3 linked regions of the Arabidopsis thaliana genome follow. The protein of the gene in region 1 interacts with the protein of each later gene in a pairwise test. Each region holds a gene or a part of one and is shown on either strand. Other genes may lie near its edges.

Region 1 (5,491 bases):
AAAATCTCTTGATATTATCACAAGATTCACAACAGTGAAAGAAAAAAGGGAAAAAACAGAAAAAAAAAAGCTATCCCTGTTATTTAAGAAAAGTGACCGACCAGAAGGTAAAAGCGATTACAAACGATAACCCTCTTTCTCCGCTCTCTCTCCAAATTTTGAATTCGATGGAATTCAGATACAGAGCCATCGATAATAATCGCCCACCTCCTGCGACGGACACGACACCATCTCCGTCGCTGAAACCGAACTTTCCTTTCTTGTCGGAACGATCAATGCCAGGTTTGTACTGTCTGTGCATCGTATTTTTTATCCATCCCCGACAGAGAACATTGTTATGATTCTGCACTTTTCGTATTTTGTTTGGTGATGCGATTGTCTATAGGAGTTGATTTGTTGAGACCTGTTTAGTTTCTGTAACGTAAATTTTGAGTGTTTGTTTTTTCATGTTTTGATTTCACGAAATTGAAATCTGTGTGAAAAATCTGAAGTTTATGAATCTTCTCATGTCGAAATGTGAAGTGATTATGAACCTTTTTCGTAGGACAACAAAGTGAGGATCAAGTTCGGGAAGCGATCAAACGAGAAATTGAGAAAGAACAAATCCGTCAAGAGATCATTATCGCAGAAGCAGCGAGAAAACGAGAGCTTATAGCTGAGGTTTTACAAGAGATGGCTATCGAGAGAGAAATGGCGATACGACGAGTTTCAGACACGGAGATGTCTCTAGAGGAAAAGCTAACTATGTGGATCAATCAAAGGAAGCTTCCAAATCAAAATCAGAATCAGTTCAACAACTTTTTCAGACAGAAGTATAGTTACATTGATTCTCTGATCAACACAGGCTCTTACAACAGTCTACTTACATCACCAATGATGCAATTGCCTCAACTTCAGCAAATGTCTGAAGCTACCGGAACATCAATGTTGGAGTCTAATAAAGAGAATTTGATTGTATTGGTGAGTTCTTTAAGTAATGGTAAACATAAATGATAGAGTATATATAAGCCTTTGTTTCATATGTGTTCTCTTTGATTTCTCTATTGCAGAATAGAGCTGATATTATAGGAGCTAAGCCTAAAGCAGACAGTGTTGGTACCATGCAATTGCCTAAACTTCAGCAAATGCCTGAGGCTACAGGAACATCAGTTTTGGAGTCTAACAAAGAGCAGTTTATTGTATTGGTAAGTGTTTTACTACGAGTGTGATATCTCATCTTTTCTATCCACGTACTTTCCTTACTTGCTTATAACAAATCCTGACCATATGTGTTCTCTTTGATTACTATTGCAGGCTAGAGCTGATCCTGTAGGAGAAAAGCGTAAAGCAGAGGATATTCAAACTGGTTTGAACGAAGATCTTCAAGTGAAAAGGCCGAAAGCAAAAGAATCAGAAGCAAAGGCGATGTCTTTGGAAACCGGAGAAATAGTCTCTTCGAAGGTTCCTTGTTCAGGGAAACTTGGCAGTGGAAAGAAAGCAGAAGGTAAGCTAAGAACTAACCAGAAGTTTTGGTGTGAGATTTGTAAAGTTGGGACCTATTGTCAAATAGTCATGAGGGATCATGAGTTAGGTAAAAAGCATAAGGCTGCTGTTACACAACAGAATGAGACACCTGAAGCTGCTTCAACCTCCTTATCCCCTGCTTCCGTTACAGCACCGCAACCAGAAGCCATTAGAGTATGTGAAAATGCTAATCCGCAGGGTCAAAAAGTAGATGAAATTGCGGCGAAAGAAACAACGGGAAAGAAGACAAAAGGTGAGAAGAAAAAGAAGGAAACGGTTTGGTGCAAAACTTGTAATATTCAGACGAATTCTGAGCAGACGATGAGGAATCATACGCTTGGGAAAAAACACATGGCTTTGCTTGAGAAACAGCAGAATAAACTCATTACAGTCCCAGTGAGATCTCTGAATGCTGATCCAGGACAGAAAGAATCAGTATCTCTAGCAATGGATGATACACAAGGTAAGGTTCATTGCTTGGAGAAGTCATAGAAGATTCTTTGTAACTTTGTTAGATTATTTTATATCAACTTTTTTTACCAAAAAAACCTTTGTTAGGTCATGACAATATACCATGAGGAATCAGAGATTGAATTCATGAATTTATTTTTATTTTTTCTTATGCAATGTGACAGTAGGAGATTTGCATGATGTTTTTTTTGTTGTGAGATTGAGAATCATGAGAATAATAACCAATGCCATTAGAGAGACCAGAATAAGTGTATAGATCATGATTGCATTTTGGAGTGTGTGTTGTCTTATGCTTTTATCATATGTTTTACAAACTTACAACTGTACAAGCAGAGTATGTTTGTTTGGACATGATACGATGATAAATGTCTTCTTTCAGGAGAGGCCCAAAATGGTTTGCCTAGAGGTATTTCAAATGTTTGGGGTGAGTCTCTCTATACATAGAGGGTATATAGACAACTCCACAATCAATCAATAGTTCTTCTCGCAATACAGCTCCACAAGACCACAACACATATGACCATGTCCCATACATAGAACCACGAAAGATGGTTCTATTGTAGCATGTTTTTTTTTTTTTTTGGTTTAATGAAGCATGTTACAATCTCTGATAAAGTTTCATCTATACTAGAAATTGAATTTTTCGAAAATCGAATCAATATCTGATGTAAGAACATTTTACGTTTGATCACTCAATTTCGTACTGAAAGTGTATAAACTTTAAAGTTGCGACTTCTTCACTAGAAAAGAATGGTACAAAAACAATCTAAGCTCAAAAAAAGAGTTAAAGTGACGTGGCGCAAAATCATTGGTTAAAAGCTTCAACAAACACAGAAGCTACGAACAAGTTGCCCGGAAAAAATTAGCTTCCGGTTTTATCTTCTCGAATTTCAGAAAAAAAGCCCTTCTCTAATATCTCTCTACTCGTACAACAATGGCGTCGATGGCTGCAACCACCAATTTCACCAAATCTATGCTCTTTCCATTCTCTCATGGTTAGTCTCTCCTAAATCCCTACTTCTATCTCTCGCTTAAGGTTTCGTGACACTGGATTTTGAGTCTTTATGTATCTGTCGTACATTAGGTTTCATCTGAATTTGCTTAATCTTTCGTAATTAGACTTTTCTATTCCATAATTGGAGGAATTGAAGCGTAATTTTGTATTTATAAGTGTTTTTGGGATTGAAATGGGCTTTAGTAATTTTTTGGTTTGAATAGTTTCAGGAAATGCGAGCTTGAATTCGCAGAGAAGAACATGGCCAAAGCAGTACAAGTCTAAAAATGGTTACAGGTCTCTTCGAGTGAATGGATTATTTGGAGGTGGAAACAAAGATAATAACAGTGAAGATGGACAATCAAAGGTTGGTACATTACATTGGTTTTTTCAAATATCAAACAGATTCTGCAATAGGTGAACATTTTAAGTTAGGCTTCATGTTGTAAAGATTCAAAGTTTATGATTTTGGAACTAATGAAGTTTGTGTGTGATCTTTCCTAGGCAGGAATATTTGGTAATATGCAGAATATGTATGAGACTGTGAAGAAAGCTCAAATGGTTGTTCAAGTGGAAGCTGTACGTGTTCAAAAAGAGTTAGCTGCGTAAGTCCGGCACATTTATCATACAAAATTTGAGGAAGTTTTCTTCTATGAGTAATGAGTTTTGCATGTTGGTTTTGTTCCAATTTCGCAGCGCAGAATTTGATGGTTATTGTGCAGGCGAGCTTGTCAAGGTCAGTTTAGAGCTTGTTTTGGCCTTAAGATAGATCAATGCACATAATAGATCAGTGAAGTATTAACTAACGTTTACTTGATGATGTAAGAACTGTGTTTTCTGATTTGTTAGTCTTTGGATGATTTGGCAAGAACTCCACTCTAGAATCTCAAAACTTTGTTTAGTCTTTATTGTTTCTGTTACAAAGTCTGATGACCTAAACCTTATGAATTTGTGTCAGGTTACGTTATCAGGTAACCAGCAACCAATCCGTACTGATATTACCGAGGCAGCAATGGAACTAGGTTCCGAAGTGAGTAACCATACGTACCTTGTTATGGAACAGTCAAAGCTAATTCATCAGTTTCTCTTGTTGATGTTGTGTGTTTTCCTTTGGCAGAAACTATCACAACTTGTCACAGAAGCATACAAGGACGCACACGCCAAGAGTGTGGTGGTATAGCAATTTGCAGACCATTTATCACAATGCAACTAAAGTATTTGTTTCTATCCATTTCTTCTAATTGAACTTTGTGAATTTTTTCACAGGCTATGAAAGAGAGAATGAGTGACCTTGCGCAGAGCTTAGGAATGCCACCGGGTCTCAGCGAAGGAATGAAGTAAGAAGCTGTTTTTGTTGTTTCATTTCAACTTTCAGGTATGAGAGGTTCGGCTTTTTTTGTTTGTTTGTATATCAGTCAGGCAGAAGCAAAGAGCTTTGTACTCTACTCTTATGGAATTATATATAAAAGATTTGAAACTTTTGGTTTTCTGCAATTTTATTCCCAAGGTATCAACACAATTGTTCTAGTATCAACATATATCTTCTTCGAATACAAGAATGCTTTTAGTGTCTTATGAAATCAAGTTGATTTGAAACATAAAAATTTCAAAAGAAAACACCGAGTTAACTCGGGTTTTGGAGGGAGCCTTCTATCTTATGTGTGTGACTAATAAGATCTTGGAAGCTCTTTGCCGGCCAAGAACGATCTTAAAAGAGTGAGAGCACGCTCGGGTTGCAACACCGGCACTTCGTGGCCCGCCCCTCTTATCGTCGCAAAGGTAAGCCCCTCATATACCTCTGTCCATCCTCCCACCTGACACCACCACCATGAGAAATCACTAGCTCTGCATAATAAGAATAGAACCACGAATTTGATGAAAATTACCTGCTTTTCGGAGTACCAAGGGTACCAGGGAGTTTTCACCGGAAGATTGAGTTTACTGAGGGCAAGTCGAGTCCCAGTCACTGGAACCACTGCGTCTGTATCGCCACTACATCAACAAAATGTGGTTAAAGGACACGAAAGGTACTTTACTTGCAGCTAGTTTCATGGTTTACCTAAAGACCCAGATCCTCAAACCAGCGGCAGTGAGTTCCTTGTATATCGGCAACATTGAAAACTCGGAATCTTTCCAGTTGTTATTCACAACCATATTGCACAATGTCCACTTATAAGGAATGGAGGTAAGATTAGCGTGCATAGCTCGTTGCACATCAGGACGGTTGTAATATATCTCAGCGTAGCTTTCGGTACAAGGGTCGTACTCGTATTCCTCTACCAAAAGCCGTCCATGCAGGAACTTGGTCTGGTTGGTTTGATGTACACATGAGGGTGAGTAGATGCTGTACCCATTGACTTTGCCAAACTCTCTGTAGGCGAAGTAGAGTGCCCAATTGCACTTGTCCGAGGTTTTATCCGCAGTGAAGCTGCAGTGTTTGAGGATAGACTTGTAAGTTTTGTCAGAGATCATTGCGTGTGACCACGCATACATGGCGGCTCCTAATCTGTCGTAATGCTTGTC
Region 2 (7,103 bases), on another chromosome or scaffold:
CTACGCTGGTTATTTGCCAATGGGGATTCGATGATGAGGCAAACCATCTATTGATGCACAGGAATTTGCCTGCTGTCAGATGGGTAGGGGGTGTTGAATTAGAACTTATCGCAATAGCCACAGGTAAGTAAAGTACTCTTAAGCATCTAATGCTAGTGTTTGTATCAGTTATGCAAAGCTGATCAGAAATTTTTCTTTTTGTAGGCGGTAGAATTGTTCCAAGATTCCAGGAGTTGACCCCAGAGAAGTTAGGGAAGGTATTTTTTTTACTTTCACTAGGTTTTGCTTGTAAAATGTTAATTAGATTTTAAACAGACCATTGAAACCCAACATTTCCTGATATATTTAGGCTGGCGTGGTTCGTGAGAAATCTTTTGGCACAACAAAAGAACGAATGCTGTATATTGAGCACTGTGCGAACTCAAAAGCTGTCACTGTTTTCATCCGTGGAGGTAATCGCCTTGTCTTTTGTACTTATTAGCACTTTAGCAGCACTGTTTTGACTTTTGAATAGCTGATGAGAGATAAACATCGATGTACTGAATCTAATGCCTTCTAAGTATATGGTGGACAACGATATTGTATAACTGATTGATCCAACGATTTGTTGCGGAATATGGTTTAGGTAACAAAATGATGATAGAAGAGACGAAACGTAGTATCCACGATGCTCTGTGTGTGGCTAGGAATCTCATCCGCAACAAATCAATTGTTTATGGAGGTGGGGCAGCTGAAATCGCTTGCTCACTTGCGGTTGATGCAGCTGCTGATAAATACCCTGGCGTGGAGCAGGTAAAATATGATCTTTCCTCTTTGATACCCTGAAATGAAATCATTTGTTTCTCAAATTGTAACTCTGAATACTAATCATGTATAAATACTTCCTCATTTACAGTATGCAATTAGGGCGTTTGCAGAAGCTTTGGACTCTGTCCCTATGGCTCTTGCAGAGAACAGTGGATTACAGCCCATTGAGACACTCTCTGCGGTTAAATCTCAGCAAATTAAGGTTAGTAAACGACGAACTTTATTATCTATATCATTGACTTGCTTGTTCGGTGACTGAACAAACATTGGGTTTTGATGAACAGGAGAATATTCCCTTCTATGGAATAGATTGCAATGACGTGGGAACAAACGATATGAGGGAGCAAAATGTGTTTGAAACATTGATCGGGAAACAGCAACAAATTTTGCTAGCTACGCAAGTCGTTAAGATGATTCTAAAGATCGACGATGTCATCTCCAATTCTGAATACTGATTTGTTGCTACCTTTGTCCTAACCTTTGGCTTCTTCGGTGTTTTTTGTTTGCTTTCTATTAGCTTTTGATACCCTTCGACATCGTTATCCTTGACTTGTTCCCTTTGTTTTGCAACCTTCTATTTAAGAACATCGTCAGATCTTAATTTTTGTGTGTACTTGTCCACAGATCGAAGCACTCGTTTGCATTTTCTTTTCGATTTAGTAACTGATGCAGGTCTCATACTGTAGACTAAACTATTATCGTATTAGTGTAACACCAGTGAACGAGGACAAAAGTAATTGTTTGCTTGTACATAAGAACATAAGAAATATGAAACCAAGCTTCGAAGGCTTCAAATACCCATCTGCTATGGTCTTTGTACACAAAATCTAAACCCTGAAGACTAATGTTTCCCACTCTTAAGATCTATAAACTTCGAAATCTGTTGCAGAGGGACTACAAGGCCTGAGTACCAAGATTTCTCCTCGTCTTATTCAAATCTCAATTCCTCTTTGTTTGTTTGGCTTCGCCTTAAGACATGAAAACATGAGTCTTTACCTCTTCTCTGTTTCATGAGAATGCTGTTGTTCTGTATCATGGCCAATGCCGAATGTCCCATTCGTAGTCTCGTCCTTTTGAATGGATGGCTTCCCATTCACAGCTACTGTGCCATCGGATGTTTCATCCACAGCAGAAAGTTCTGTTTTTTTATCATCTTCAGCGACAATGGCTGTATCAGATTTTTCATCTTGTTCATGTGCTTTGTCTGTATTTTGATTAGATAGAGCTGCTTCAGCTTTCTGCCTCTCTTCTTTTTCTCGACGTCTCTTTGCTTCTTGCTCTTTCAGCAGCCTAAACCTGGGATCACATGGACGTGTTAGTACAAAAAAACAGCTTCTAGGAACGAATGATGACACATTTTAGAAGATTTGGTTACCTTTCACCAGGTTTGGGGCATTCTGGGGTCACCTTTTCACCACCCTTCTCTCTTGGTATTTTCAGTTCTGAAACAGACTTCTGAACTAGTGGTTCTGAAAAAGACTTCTCAATTTGTTGTGTTTTATCTTCCTTAGTGACCAAATTAGTGAATTTCTCCACTGGATTCTTAGCACCACCATATTTTTGAAGCCATACTTGCTGTGCCGTGCTCAAAATGTTGTTGGTCAGCCTGCAAAAACACTTTAAAACTGAGAAGAATAGCGAGTGGAAGCTGACCACTCACGAAAACCACAGAAAATTAGACTCACCAATAAAGACTTAAACCAGAAGGAACTGATAATGCAAAATAGCCAATCATCAGTGGAAGAAGCTTAGTCACTGCTTGTGAGCTCTTCATGGCTGGATCATTACTCTGACAAAAAATGATAAGAAACATAAATTTCTCTGTTGCATAGAAGGATTTCGTTGTTGATTGAATTATACTTTAATGGAATGAGCTTTCAGCACAGGCACCAATGTGGTACACATTTTCAACATAGACGTAACTACTAATAGACTATTATCACATATTCCACATGATGCTATACCTGCGAGGACTGCATAATTTGAATGGAGAGGTATTGAGAGAAGACGAGCAATAGAGGTAAGACAAGATATGCTAATGTGTCTGGCCATCCGAGAGGTGGGTGTCCCTCCTGAGAAATAAAATGGAAATTTGTAGACATCAGCGATGAGGTCCGACACCACTCCCCTCAAGTTTTCTTCAATAATTCATTTTAATCAGTTTTATATGCTTGAACAATTAAACTGAATAAGAGTTCGTAAGAACTATGAGTCTAGTCTAGATTCCATTTTCGAAATATCAAGTTTCAAATGATACTTACAATGAAAGGGAACAGCCATGAGATTCCACTGCCATTCTGTCTTGCAGCAACAGTCGTTGGACCAGCAAGAGAAGGTATCCAGAAAAAACCTTCCGTTAAGAGCCCCTAAAGTTAGAAACAAGCATCCAACTACTTGTCAAAAAAGAATCTCAAGGCACTTACAGATACAAAAGGATATAGTTATTTCCAGGTACCTCATCTGCAACATTTGAGAGGGCTCTATATAGCCCAATCCAGACAGGTATCGTGGCTAGTGTGGGGAGGCAGCCTAACAGATAAATGAAAATATAGCTTAACCATAAATGTTGTCTCAAATGGAAAAACATACGATAAGCTGAAGTAACATACTGTACCTGCAAGGGGATTTATTCCAGCAAGCTTATACAATCTAGCAGTTTCAAGCTGAATTTTCTCCTGCAAAGATAAACAAAAATAAAGAAGCTATTTGTTTAAACAAGAGGGCTATATTCATACATAGTAAAGCTATAATATTTGTTATATTCATTAGTATCCCTCCACAATTGTGGAACCAATAGCAACACACATGTTCTTACTTTTTCCTTAACTCCATCAACTAAGAATTGATGCAAACATAACTTAGTATAGCATCAGGACAAATAAAACCCATGTGTACAGTATAGAAGAATTGTTTTTCACCTGATCACCAGCATACCGTTCCTGAATAGCCTTTATTTGAGGCGTCAAAGATTTCATAGCCATGGCAGATTCAACCTGTAGAGAATAAACCACCAATTCAATAACATGGACTAAAAATGATATCATGGCTTAGCAGCAATAGAAACAAACTAAAAACCTGTTTTTTCGTCAATGGGAACGTAGCAGCCTTAACAAGCACAGTCAATAGAATGATAGCGAAACCATAGGAATAAGGAACATGTACAGTTGATAACCCATCTTTCAAAACCTGCAATCCAATTCAAAATCAATCATATAGCTACACAAAAATTCATTTCTTTCTAAACCAAAAAAGACAAAACTTTTAATACCTTGAGAATAGTTTCCATGTAATTAGCAATACCAGAGAACCAATCATTGCTCTGGGTCGTTTTGGTAGTAGTGCCGGCGACAGATTCAAAGGTTTCAGAGGACGAAACGGCGGCATCAGCGATCGTGTACAGCAGATTCTCGGCATGGTCCTTGATGAAATCAAAAGAATCTGGTCTGAACCCGAGTTGAGCTACGAGAGTCCGATAACGAGACGACGACGACGACGGTGTGTGGCTGAAACGGGAGCGGCGGAATTGGAGGACTTTGCCTGTGGAGAAAGAGGAGAGGATAAGGTGCGTCGGCTTTAGGGATATTGTTGAAGACATCTCTAGGGAGAAGAAGGAAGGAGAGTTTTAGGGTTTTGGTTGAGAAGACAAAATGGGGAAGATTTGGATTTTGTTGGCAGTATTGTTGTGTTGTTGTGTTCTTGCTTTGCGTCTCAGTGTGCGAGACCGACCGAACTGAGAAGTGGAGCAAACCAAATTTTGTTTTTCTGATTTTTTAAAACTAACAACACAAACTATATATCTCACCTTTTTTATTGACTTTTTCTAGGGTAAATATAACAACATAAACTATGGCTCCGAATGGTGACTGTGTTTTGCGATGCGGGAAAAGTGCAGTGCGGTTCAAATAATAACAAAAATACATAAATACATATATATATGTAAAAATTTTGATATTGTTACAACACTGTTACGATACGGTTTTGGATACGGTTTTAGTCACCATTCACAACCTATAAATCACTCGTTAACAACTATAACCAATTAAATTCTACAACGAAAAGTAACACTAATATCTATACCCGAACTTTGGTGGAGAAAACCATAGAGATAAACATTTCATGATTGTTAGTGATTTTTGTTTAAGTATAAAAATATGTGAAACATACGATGAAAAGACTGAAATAGTATAAATTACATCTAACAACCAATAAATCAGGAGAAAAAAAGAATAACATATATTGGAGGGTGATGAGTGATGATGGATCCGCATGTAGTAGATGTAAGTCGTCGTCATTGCCCAGCATTCACTACTGTTGCGTTTCCCATATTCACTTGTAAACTTATATTCTGTTTGAGTGGCACTGCAACCATAAATAAATATTTATATACATTAGTTAATTCAAATAAAAATTATAGTAGAAATTCAAATTAATAAGATTTATTGCAATAAGTTTATAAAAATAAAAATAAAAGGAGAATACGAACATTCTGATTCCGGGTGGCGCCTAGGTTTGATGAAATATTTCCAGACGCCCCAACCACCAGCTCCAAGACTTAACAAAGTCGGTAATGAAATTCCAAGAGGTAAAGCTAAGTTGCTGCTGCTTTTCTCCTCTCCTGATTTACCTGAAGAATCTTCATACACAAACACAAACGTACCACATATTAGACTCGAACCAACGATCTCATATCATTTGATAACAATAATAACATGATTATTAACATCCAAAGCTTCATAAATGTTTTTTTTTTATATATAAATGATATTGTTATACGACAAAAACTTTGAAAATAATCTCTAGAAATTGTCCCAAACTATATTAAGTGACTATTCTTCTAAAAGTCCTAATATGGAAAAAAACATCTTAATTAAAAAAAATATTGAGAACTGATATGCCTGCAGATTTTTCATCTTCACTAGCTTTGTTGGTTCCTCCATCTCCATTATTGCTTCCTCCTAAAATATCGTTCAAACGAAGAAAAGTGACTTATAATTTTAGTTTTCAGTTTAAGTCAATTTTCTTACGGAGCTAGTAATTTGGAGAGCATGTTTTTGACCAATCTATCTAGAAAAATGACGGCTCAAAGTCGGACTAAACCGCCTCCTAGTCGGCTATGTTTTACAATGAAAGTTTTTGGTTAAACACTTCCCATTCTTCTAACCTTTAAGCCTAGTTATGATCTTGCATGTTGATAAAAGGCAGTTGATCGTCAATAACTAGAAGCTAAATCTTGCATCCTAATTAATATACCCACACGAGTTCCTCCCTTTCAATTCAGTATCCATATATTTTAAAGAACCACTAGAGTAGAGTTACTTATATATATAGATTTATATATTAATATATAGATTGATATCTTTTCTACAAAACAAACCGTTTTCTTATTATTGTCAGAATTAGTAGCCTCTTCTATTCATTATTTATCTCAAACCAAAATTATTAAAATTAACCGTATTTTACAACATATATATAAGATAATGAAAAGAATAATTACCGGATTTGCCTCCACCACCGCCCTTGCTTGGGCTGCCACCACCACCGCCTGTGCTAGGGGGGCTGCCACTACCACCGCCAGTGCTAGGGGGGCTGCCACTACCACCACCAGGACTAGGGCTGCCACCACCGCTCGTGCTTGTTGAATTCGTCCCGTTTCCACTTCCACCACTATTACTAATGACATAGAGCTCGAGAGCGTTGATGAGTGGGTCCAAAGTCGAGTCTGGTGTAGCTTCAAAAGTCAGATAGGCAAGCTCAGTCTTCACCACATCCCTCAAAGAAGCTTGAGTCACTGCCCCGAAAGGTGGCACAATTAGATCTGAACCCACTTGCTTGTCCTCATAGTAAACATTGAAAGACCGCTTTTGGTCAGAACCAAGGCTTAGTGGTTCGGAGAAATAAATGACAATGTAAAATGTCACTCCAGAAAAAGGTAGCTTTATATCATAGAAAGCCATGTCCTTCTGCGACCAAGAAGTCCGAAGGATAATCTCTGGTGGTCGATTGTCAGCTCCTGTTGTGTCGATAGAAGTGGCAGAACTTGTTAGATGTGAGGCAAAAACCGATGCTGGCATCCATATTCTATCATAAGGATCATATGGGAACCTGAAAATGTGGGAATTTATGTTAGAAATTCGCTATAAATTTATGTTTAGGTTTTATTCATTTTATATCTTTCCTTATCATGAAGTCCCGGGACTGATGAAAGAAAAAAAAATAGTTAAATTGATTTTTATTTACCAAATGCTAGTTGGTTGTTCCTTGACTTTGGATCTACGTACGGTTAGTTTTCCAAATAT
Region 3 (7,203 bases), 2.1 Mb from region 1:
AGGGAAAAAAAAGCATGAAAAAGATGAAACCTGTCATTTACAACTTCTATTTTATGTCTACTTTTATTTTTATTTTCAAAAGAAGAACAAAGAAGAGATCTTTCAAATTGTCTCTACATTTTATCTTCTCTTTTACTTTTCCCTAACGATTTTGTTGTATGTAGTATATATCTTTAATAATCAGTCGTTTCGTATATAAATGCGAACATCTTTTTCAGAAAGAGATTGCCTAAAATGGCGTATATGTTGTATTATTACCCTAAAAACAAATAATCTTTAACGTTAGTTGATCATGCATGAAATCATCAGCAAACCTTTTCATAATCCCACTCATCTCTTTTGTGCTCTTGTCCTTCTCCATTTTGTTGTTATCTTCTCTCTTTTTTTCTTCATTTTGACCATATATCATTTCTCAATAATTTTTCGAATTTATCATGAAAAACGTAGAACTTCTACATGTCAAAAGCTTAGATACACTGAAACCATGTATTTTAGTGGTTTATGCTACAATCGTGTCTATGTGTTACTATTATTAATAAAATTTATATAATGCATATTGTTAAACAAAAAGTTGACGAAATTATGACAGAAAAAAATGACGAAACAATTTCTTTTAACTCTTTATCCACAAATATCTGATTTTTTTTTTTTTTTTTTTTTTTTTTTTTTTTTTTTTTACTAGGGAAGCAATGAATTGCTCTTTTTTTCTCTCCTGGTGTCAATGCTTCAATTATGAACGTTAACTAATTTATTGCTTTATGAGCTTCTTTCTCGTCCAAACATTCTTAAAAACAATAGTGAAAGTCTCGATTACGAATTCAATATGACTACGTTCAATTTCATATATCGCTTTCCATTCTAATTTTTTAAGATTTGGCATAGGTGTACTAATCATTTGCTTCATCTGCCGAACAAATTTTCATAATTACTTTTTTAAAGAACGCATATGCGGTTATAATTTGTACCACTCTTAACTTTGCATATGAATTTACTTAATTACTTATGCACCCATTAATCAATGGAAGCCCGAGGTAATATGCAACCTGATTAAAAAATATTACGTTATTATTCTGATGGTCCGTACATACAAATATTACTTTTTATAATTTTCCTATGTATCCTTTGTATATGAATTGAAAAGCATTTTAGAGAAATAATTTCTATTTAGTAACAAATTAATGAGTTATTACCCATAAATTATTCTTACGTCTCCATCAAAAAGTGAGTTTAGCCTTGAAAGTTCTGTGTCGACGTCGTTATGTTATAAAACAATAAATACGAACTCTTAATCGTTCGTTGTCATATAAAATTAAGAAAAAAATACAACATCATCATTTTTTTTATTTTTTTTGTCAAACTTACAACATCATCATTTCTATCAAAAATTTATGTTAAAAAACAAATTATGAAATAAATAATTATTTCACAACGAAAAATAATAATAACAAATATAATTATTTTCAAAACAACTTTAAATTTAATTTCTATATATAGTATTTGGTATAGGTCTATATATGATCGTGACGTGTGAAATATAATTGAGGAACGGTGGATGATTCTTGAAAACAATGTGGAAGATATTTAATTCAGTATGATGCTTAAAAAAACTCATAACGTTAGCTATGTTTTGTTGAATATTACATCACATAAACGTATGGGTGTGCACTTAGAGCGAGCCGGTGATTATAGGTTTGTTTTTTTTGGTAAAAAATTATTGAGAGATTATTGATTATAGGTTTTGAAGCTATCGATCTGAGCTAGAGATTAAGGAACGAATCCCTCTATGAACATTTAAACCTTGTTCTTTTTGCTTATTAACTGAGAGATTAGGATCCTAAAATCTATACAACACTAGAGATCATTATCCAAAAGATTTTACTTAGTCCCATTTGCGGTCACATTTAATTCCCTAAAAGCATGAAAATTCTATCCCATTTGTTTTTTCCACTAGACTTGGGACTCAAAGCGTAATTTATAACTATCTTACGTTAGAGAGCATTATTTACGACCATTATTTAGGCTGAACTCATTATAGACATCGATCAAGCTCTAGTGTTAAATACATTTTCTTTGTGGGATTAATCTTTAAAGGCCTTGTAATCACTTACTATTTCGTAAGTTATGAAGATTTGGGAACCGGATTATGGCTTTGGGAAGTTAAGTCCTATGACTCAAGCTTACCTTTTTAGGGTTGTGTATAGGTTCTCGATAAATGTTTCAGATTAGTTCATTTGTTTTTTTGTTTATAAAAACTACATAATATAAAACGTGGAAAGAAAGTGATAATGACAAGAAATAAAAGTAAGAAAGGTGGTGGTGTGAGAATCAGATTCGATGTCAACTAATTGAAAGAGAGTACGCAGCTTTTTCTTCACAATTATATATATTTTGTGGAAAAGCTTACCATACATTCACAAAGCATTCGAGATTTGATTTTTATAGAAAAGTATTTACATAAAGTATTTTCTAAATCGGTTTCTATTTTGTATGCTTTCAGTTTTATTTTGTGTTGGGGAAGTGATCCATGCATTGAGCTTGGAGATTGATGGATTGGTAATTAAGCCTATTAAGTTAAGCAGGCCTGTTTCTAAAATGGGCCCTAATAAGCCCAAACTACAAAAAGCACCGATATATCCCACGTTAGATACATGTCCACGTGGACTCCTATGACTGGATGTAATCTCCACCACGCGCGATCACCAGCTTCGTCTCTCATTTTCATTTTCCAATTTATTTTCAAAAAAAGATAAATCCAGAAAAAAATTTACAAAATAAAAAAATAAAAATCTCTATCTTCTTCTTCGTCTCTTCTCATCCTCCTCTCAAGCTCCAATGGCGAGAGTTCTAGTCTCGTCTCCATCTTCATTCTTCGGTTCACCGTTGATTAAACCGTCGTCATCTCTCCGTCACAGTGGAGTAGGAGGAGGAGGAACCGCTCAATTTCTTCCATACCGGAGTAATAATAACAAACTCTTCACTACTTCAACCACCGTACGATTCAGCTTAAACGAGATTCCTCCTTTCCATGGCTTGGATTCATCTGTAGACATCGGAGCGATTTTCACCAGAGCTGAATCTCTTCTCTATACAATAGCTGACGCCGCCGTTGTTGGTGCTGATTCCGTCGTAACTACTGATTCATCCGCCGTGCAGAAGAGTGGTGGTTGGTTTGGTTTTATCTCCGATGCTATGGAATTGGTTCTTAAGGTGAGTTTTAAGCTGCTAATTTCGATCTCTGTGTGTAGAATTCTGGAAATTGTATTTGTAGCTTAAGTTTTTTGGTTTGGATTTTTAGATTTTGAAGGATGGATTATCAGCGGTTCATGTACCTTATGCTTATGGATTTGCGATTATCTTGCTTACGATTATCGTCAAAGCAGCGACGTATCCTTTGACTAAGCAACAGGTTAGTGAGTGTGATTAGTTGAATTTTGCAGCTCCTCTTGTCACTTTGATTCAATTTTGGCATGTTGGTTGAGAATTTTTGAGCATTGCTTTTGTTTTGGAATCCTTTAGGTTGAATCAACACTAGCGATGCAAAATCTTCAACCGAAAATCAAAGCGATTCAACAACGTTACGCAGGAAATCAGGTGAGTTTCTTTGGATAGAGAATGAGTTACTTGTGGATGACGAGTCTGATTTGTTTGTTCTGTTTTTGGATATATAGGAGAGGATACAACTAGAGACATCGCGATTGTATAAACAAGCTGGTGTTAATCCGTTGGCAGGTACTTTCTTTTAGAAGTTACGAGTTTTGTATTCCCTTCCTGAATTGTGGTGACATATGCACATTATTGTTTTTTTTATGTTAGGTTGCTTACCAACTTTAGCAACCATACCAGTTTGGATTGGTTTATACCAAGCTCTCTCTAACGTGGCCAACGAGGTACATATACCTTATGTCTCTTTCAACTACTGATTTCGCTAGAGACCGGATAAGTTTGTCTCTTTCAACTACTAATTGTTCTAAAAACTTTTTTTTTGTAGGGATTGTTTACAGAAGGTTTCTTTTGGATTCCATCTCTGGGTGGACCAACATCTATAGCTGCTCGGCAGAGTGGATCCGGCATTTCGTGGCTTTTTCCGTTTGTGGTAATGGAAGAAAAAAACTTTATGTGAATACGTTTTCTCATTTGATACTTATCTTTATACTAAAAAATTTCATACAACTGAGTCTTTTGCTGTGCAATGAACCTTTATCAAATTGGTGTCTAATATCGTTCGGTGGTGCAGGACGGGCATCCACCATTGGGATGGTATGACACTGTAGCTTATCTTGTTCTACCTGTTCTACTTATTGCCTCCCAGTATGTGTCAATGGAAATTATGAAGCCTCCTCAAGTGAGAAATAAACACAAGTTTCTTTTATTTTTCCTGTTACTTAAACAATTTGATATGATTGTTCTGAAACCGAATTTAATTTCTTTTGTCAGACTGATGATCCTGCACAGAAGAATACGCTTCTTGTTTTCAAGTTTCTTCCACTCATGATCGGTTACTTTGCATTGTCTGTCCCATCAGGACTATCTATTTACTGGTTGGTTTCCCTCTCCTTGAAACTTCTCATCTAACTGTTTTATCCATGCCCTTGATCTACTCATTAAATGGAGTATAAGAAAGATTTTCTCTAGTAATTAACCTAGATGGCTTCATTCTCAAAATGTACGTAAGACGGGTTAGAATTTCGAGGAATACGAAGCTTGTTTGATAAGGAATCATCTAGTGTGACTACATTTTGTAACATCAATATTATTGTATATGACTGTGTTTATTGGTAGGATCTGAGTTTTATTTTTTCCCTTTTTATTATGCTACTGCTTATGTTAAACCATCCTATGGTTTTAGGCTCACAAATAATGTACTTAGTACCGCCCAACAAGTATATCTGCGTAAACTAGGTGGTGCAAAGCCAAATATGGATGAAAACGCAAGCAAAATAATAAGTGCGGGACGAGCAAAGAGATCTATTGCTCAGCCTGACGATGCTGGCGAAAGGTAAGTGAATCCCGAGTCTAGTGGAGATTATATCTCTCAATACGAAGCGTTTTTCTTACAAGTTTGTTATTTCTGATAAATGTATATTGGATCACAACAGATTTAGACAATTAAAAGAGCAAGAGAAGCGCAGCAAGAAGAACAAGGCGGTTGCGAAAGATACAGTTGAATTGGTAGAAGAATCTCAGTCTGAATCAGAAGAAGGGTCTGATGATGAGGAAGAAGAGGCTCGTGAAGGAGCGTTAGCTTCGAGCACAACAAGCAAGCCGCTTCCTGAGGTTGGCCAACGAAGAAGCAAAAGATCGAAGCGGAAACGCACTGTATAGAACCAAAGCAAACGAAATTGCAAGTAAGGAAGAGAAAAGAGAGAGATTTGAATCTTGTTCCTTAGTTTGATCTTTTGATATATATTTGCATACACCATGTCCGGTAATTATCTAATATTAGGGCACAAAAAGGTCATTCTAAAGTTAAAAGCAGTAGTTGATCAAAGTAAATTGTTTATGTGATTCATCTTATTATAAATGTATTAACGTAAATGTGTGTACTATTATGACTTTTCAACATGCCCGCTTCAGTTTTGTTAGCATTTCGTTGTTGTAAACTTGCAATCTATTTGTTTGGTGCTTTTATTAGCTTTGTCAGCTTATAAAAATGGTAAATGTGAATCAAGTAGTATAGTAATTTGTGCAATAAACGAGACAACGATTCCCCATGAATAAACAACAATTACTTCCTGACAAAGAAGCATTGTTCTTTGGATTGGCATGGATAAAATAGAGAGAGGTAAAAATATTACGATTTGGATTGGGCTGAGGCCCAAGATATGGTTACACGATTTTCAAATTCTCGAAGTTGTACAAGTAGACAAAAGACATCTTGTTTTGTCGTGTTGTCGTTTGGTGTTTGTCGTTTTGATGTGTTTGTCAAAGAACCCTGTTACTAATCTGAACGAATATAACTTGTCAGTGTAGCCACATTACACTAATATTCAGAGAAAGTTGTCATGTTGTTACAATCATGAGTCACATAGCATGTAATAGAGTGTACATTTCAATAGGTTTAGAAGTTTAGAACACATAAATCAATCGGTCCATCTAAAATGTTTGCATTATGGTTTACTCATTGTAACTTGTAAACATTACATATGTGAATGCTTACTATCCTAGAAAAGCAAAACTGTTGGAAACAGCTAAAAATTAATATATCTGCCTAATATTTTCAGAATATGTTATTTTTCAACCATCCGAAATAGTGCTATTTACCAAAAACACACATTAGGATTAGTTTACCAATGAAGGAAACAAAGCTTCGTTAGTCACAAACCACATGCCATCATTTTATTCTTTAAAGAGCTTTCAAGCTTTTGACTCATAGAAATAGAATCCAATATTCATCTCTTTTAAACTGACATTAAAGCCCTTCGCCTCCTTAAACCCACATGCTAAATTCATTGCCTAACCACCCAAAACATCCAAAGGGTATTTTCGTCACTCCAAAAAATGTATGCATATCGAAAAATACTTTAGCTTATATACACACACGTCGCATTGGCACACCTTTCACACCAAAAGCTACACAATGGCTAAAACCTCTCTTCCTCTCGCCGCCTCCTTCCTCCTCCTCATCTCCTTCTCCTCCGCCGTAGACACTTCCCGTCTCTTCCTCACCGTCGTCAACAACTGTCCCTTCACTGTCTGGCCAGCCATTCAACCCAACGCCGGCCACCCCGTCCTAGAGAAAGGTGGCTTCGCTCTCCCAACTTTCACTCACCGCTCCTTCAACGTTCCAACCACACACTGGTCCGGTCGCATCTGGGCCAGAACCTGGTGTGCCCACTACAACGGAAAATTCTCCTGCCTCACCGGAGACTGCGGAAACCGCCTGGAATGCAACGGTCTCGGCGGGGCACCACCAGCTTCTCTAGCTCAGTTCGACCTCCACCACGGTGGTCACCACGACTTCTCCTCTTACGGTGTCTCTCTCGTTGACGGTTACAATGTTCCGATGACCGTGACTCCTCACGAAGGCCATGGTGTCTGTCCTGTCGTTGGTTGTCGTGAAGATCTAATAAAAACGTGTCCGGCTCATCTTCAGGTCCGGTCACACAGTGGACACGTGGTGGCTTGTAAGAGTGGGTGTGAGGCTTTCCATACAGACGAGCTGTGTTGTCGTGGTCATTACAATAGCCCTAACACGTGTAAAGC

The links.
Region 2: the proteins of AT2G24020 (region 1) and ALB4 interact in binary tests that used the Arabidopsis thaliana proteins (3 or more experiments, as listed by UniProt).
Region 3: the proteins of AT2G24020 (region 1) and ALB3 interact in binary tests that used the Arabidopsis thaliana proteins (3 or more experiments, as listed by UniProt).

The regions. Positions count from the first base shown.
Region 1 is NC_003071.7:10,216,687-10,222,177, reverse strand, and holds AT2G24020 (Putative BCR, YbaB family COG0718), read left to right. Parts: upstream 1-2,709; 5' UTR 2,710-2,908; coding exon 2,909-2,969; intron 2,970-3,192; coding exon 3,193-3,335; intron 3,336-3,472; coding exon 3,473-3,573; intron 3,574-3,664; coding exon 3,665-3,704; intron 3,705-3,926; coding exon 3,927-3,998; intron 3,999-4,085; coding exon 4,086-4,142; intron 4,143-4,234; coding exon 4,235-4,309; 3' UTR 4,310-4,477; downstream 4,478-5,491. Other genes in the region: AT2G24030 (zinc ion binding / nucleic acid binding protein), read left to right, coding at 168-282, 545-960, 1,050-1,184, 1,294-1,995; scpl23 (serine carboxypeptidase-like 23), read right to left, coding at 4,636-4,782, 4,855-4,960, 5,028-5,491. UniProt on the Arabidopsis thaliana protein: Participates with ALB4 in thylakoid protein targeting. May function with specific subset of thylakoidal proteins. Binds to DNA and alters its conformation. May be involved in regulation of gene expression, nucleoid organization and DNA protection.
Region 2 is NC_003070.9:8,679,663-8,686,765, reverse strand, and holds ALB4 (OxaA/YidC-like membrane insertion protein), read right to left. Parts: upstream 4,572-7,103; 5' UTR 4,403-4,571; coding exon 4,076-4,402; intron 3,994-4,075; coding exon 3,883-3,993; intron 3,801-3,882; coding exon 3,726-3,800; intron 3,483-3,725; coding exon 3,422-3,482; intron 3,337-3,421; coding exon 3,263-3,336; intron 3,174-3,262; coding exon 3,069-3,173; intron 2,880-3,068; coding exon 2,772-2,879; intron 2,597-2,771; coding exon 2,493-2,596; intron 2,414-2,492; coding exon 2,183-2,413; intron 2,104-2,182; coding exon 1,800-2,103; 3' UTR 1,495-1,799; downstream 1-1,494. Other genes in the region: AT1G24510 (TCP-1/cpn60 chaperonin family protein), read left to right, coding at 1-123, 205-257, 350-452, 626-792, 896-1,009, 1,092-1,262; AT1G24485 (ER protein carbohydrate-binding protein), read right to left, coding at 4,872-5,166, 5,287-5,440, 5,703-5,762, 6,302-6,909. UniProt on the Arabidopsis thaliana protein: Required for the insertion of some light harvesting chlorophyll-binding proteins (LHCP) into the chloroplast thylakoid membrane. Plays a role in the accumulation of some cytochrome b6f components in the thylakoid membrane.
Region 3 is NC_003071.7:12,354,788-12,361,990, reverse strand, and holds ALB3 (63 kDa inner membrane family protein), read left to right. Parts: upstream 1-2,422; 5' UTR 2,423-2,832; coding exon 2,833-3,207; intron 3,208-3,295; coding exon 3,296-3,406; intron 3,407-3,516; coding exon 3,517-3,591; intron 3,592-3,668; coding exon 3,669-3,729; intron 3,730-3,813; coding exon 3,814-3,887; intron 3,888-3,988; coding exon 3,989-4,093; intron 4,094-4,234; coding exon 4,235-4,342; intron 4,343-4,434; coding exon 4,435-4,538; coding exon of another isoform or gene 4,539-4,572; exon of another isoform or gene 4,573-4,846; coding exon 4,847-4,996; intron 4,997-5,096; coding exon 5,097-5,322; 3' UTR 5,323-5,670; downstream 5,671-7,203. Other genes in the region: AT2G28790 (Pathogenesis-related thaumatin superfamily protein), read left to right, coding at 6,503-7,203. UniProt on the Arabidopsis thaliana protein: Required for the insertion of some light harvesting chlorophyll-binding proteins (LHCP) into the chloroplast thylakoid membrane.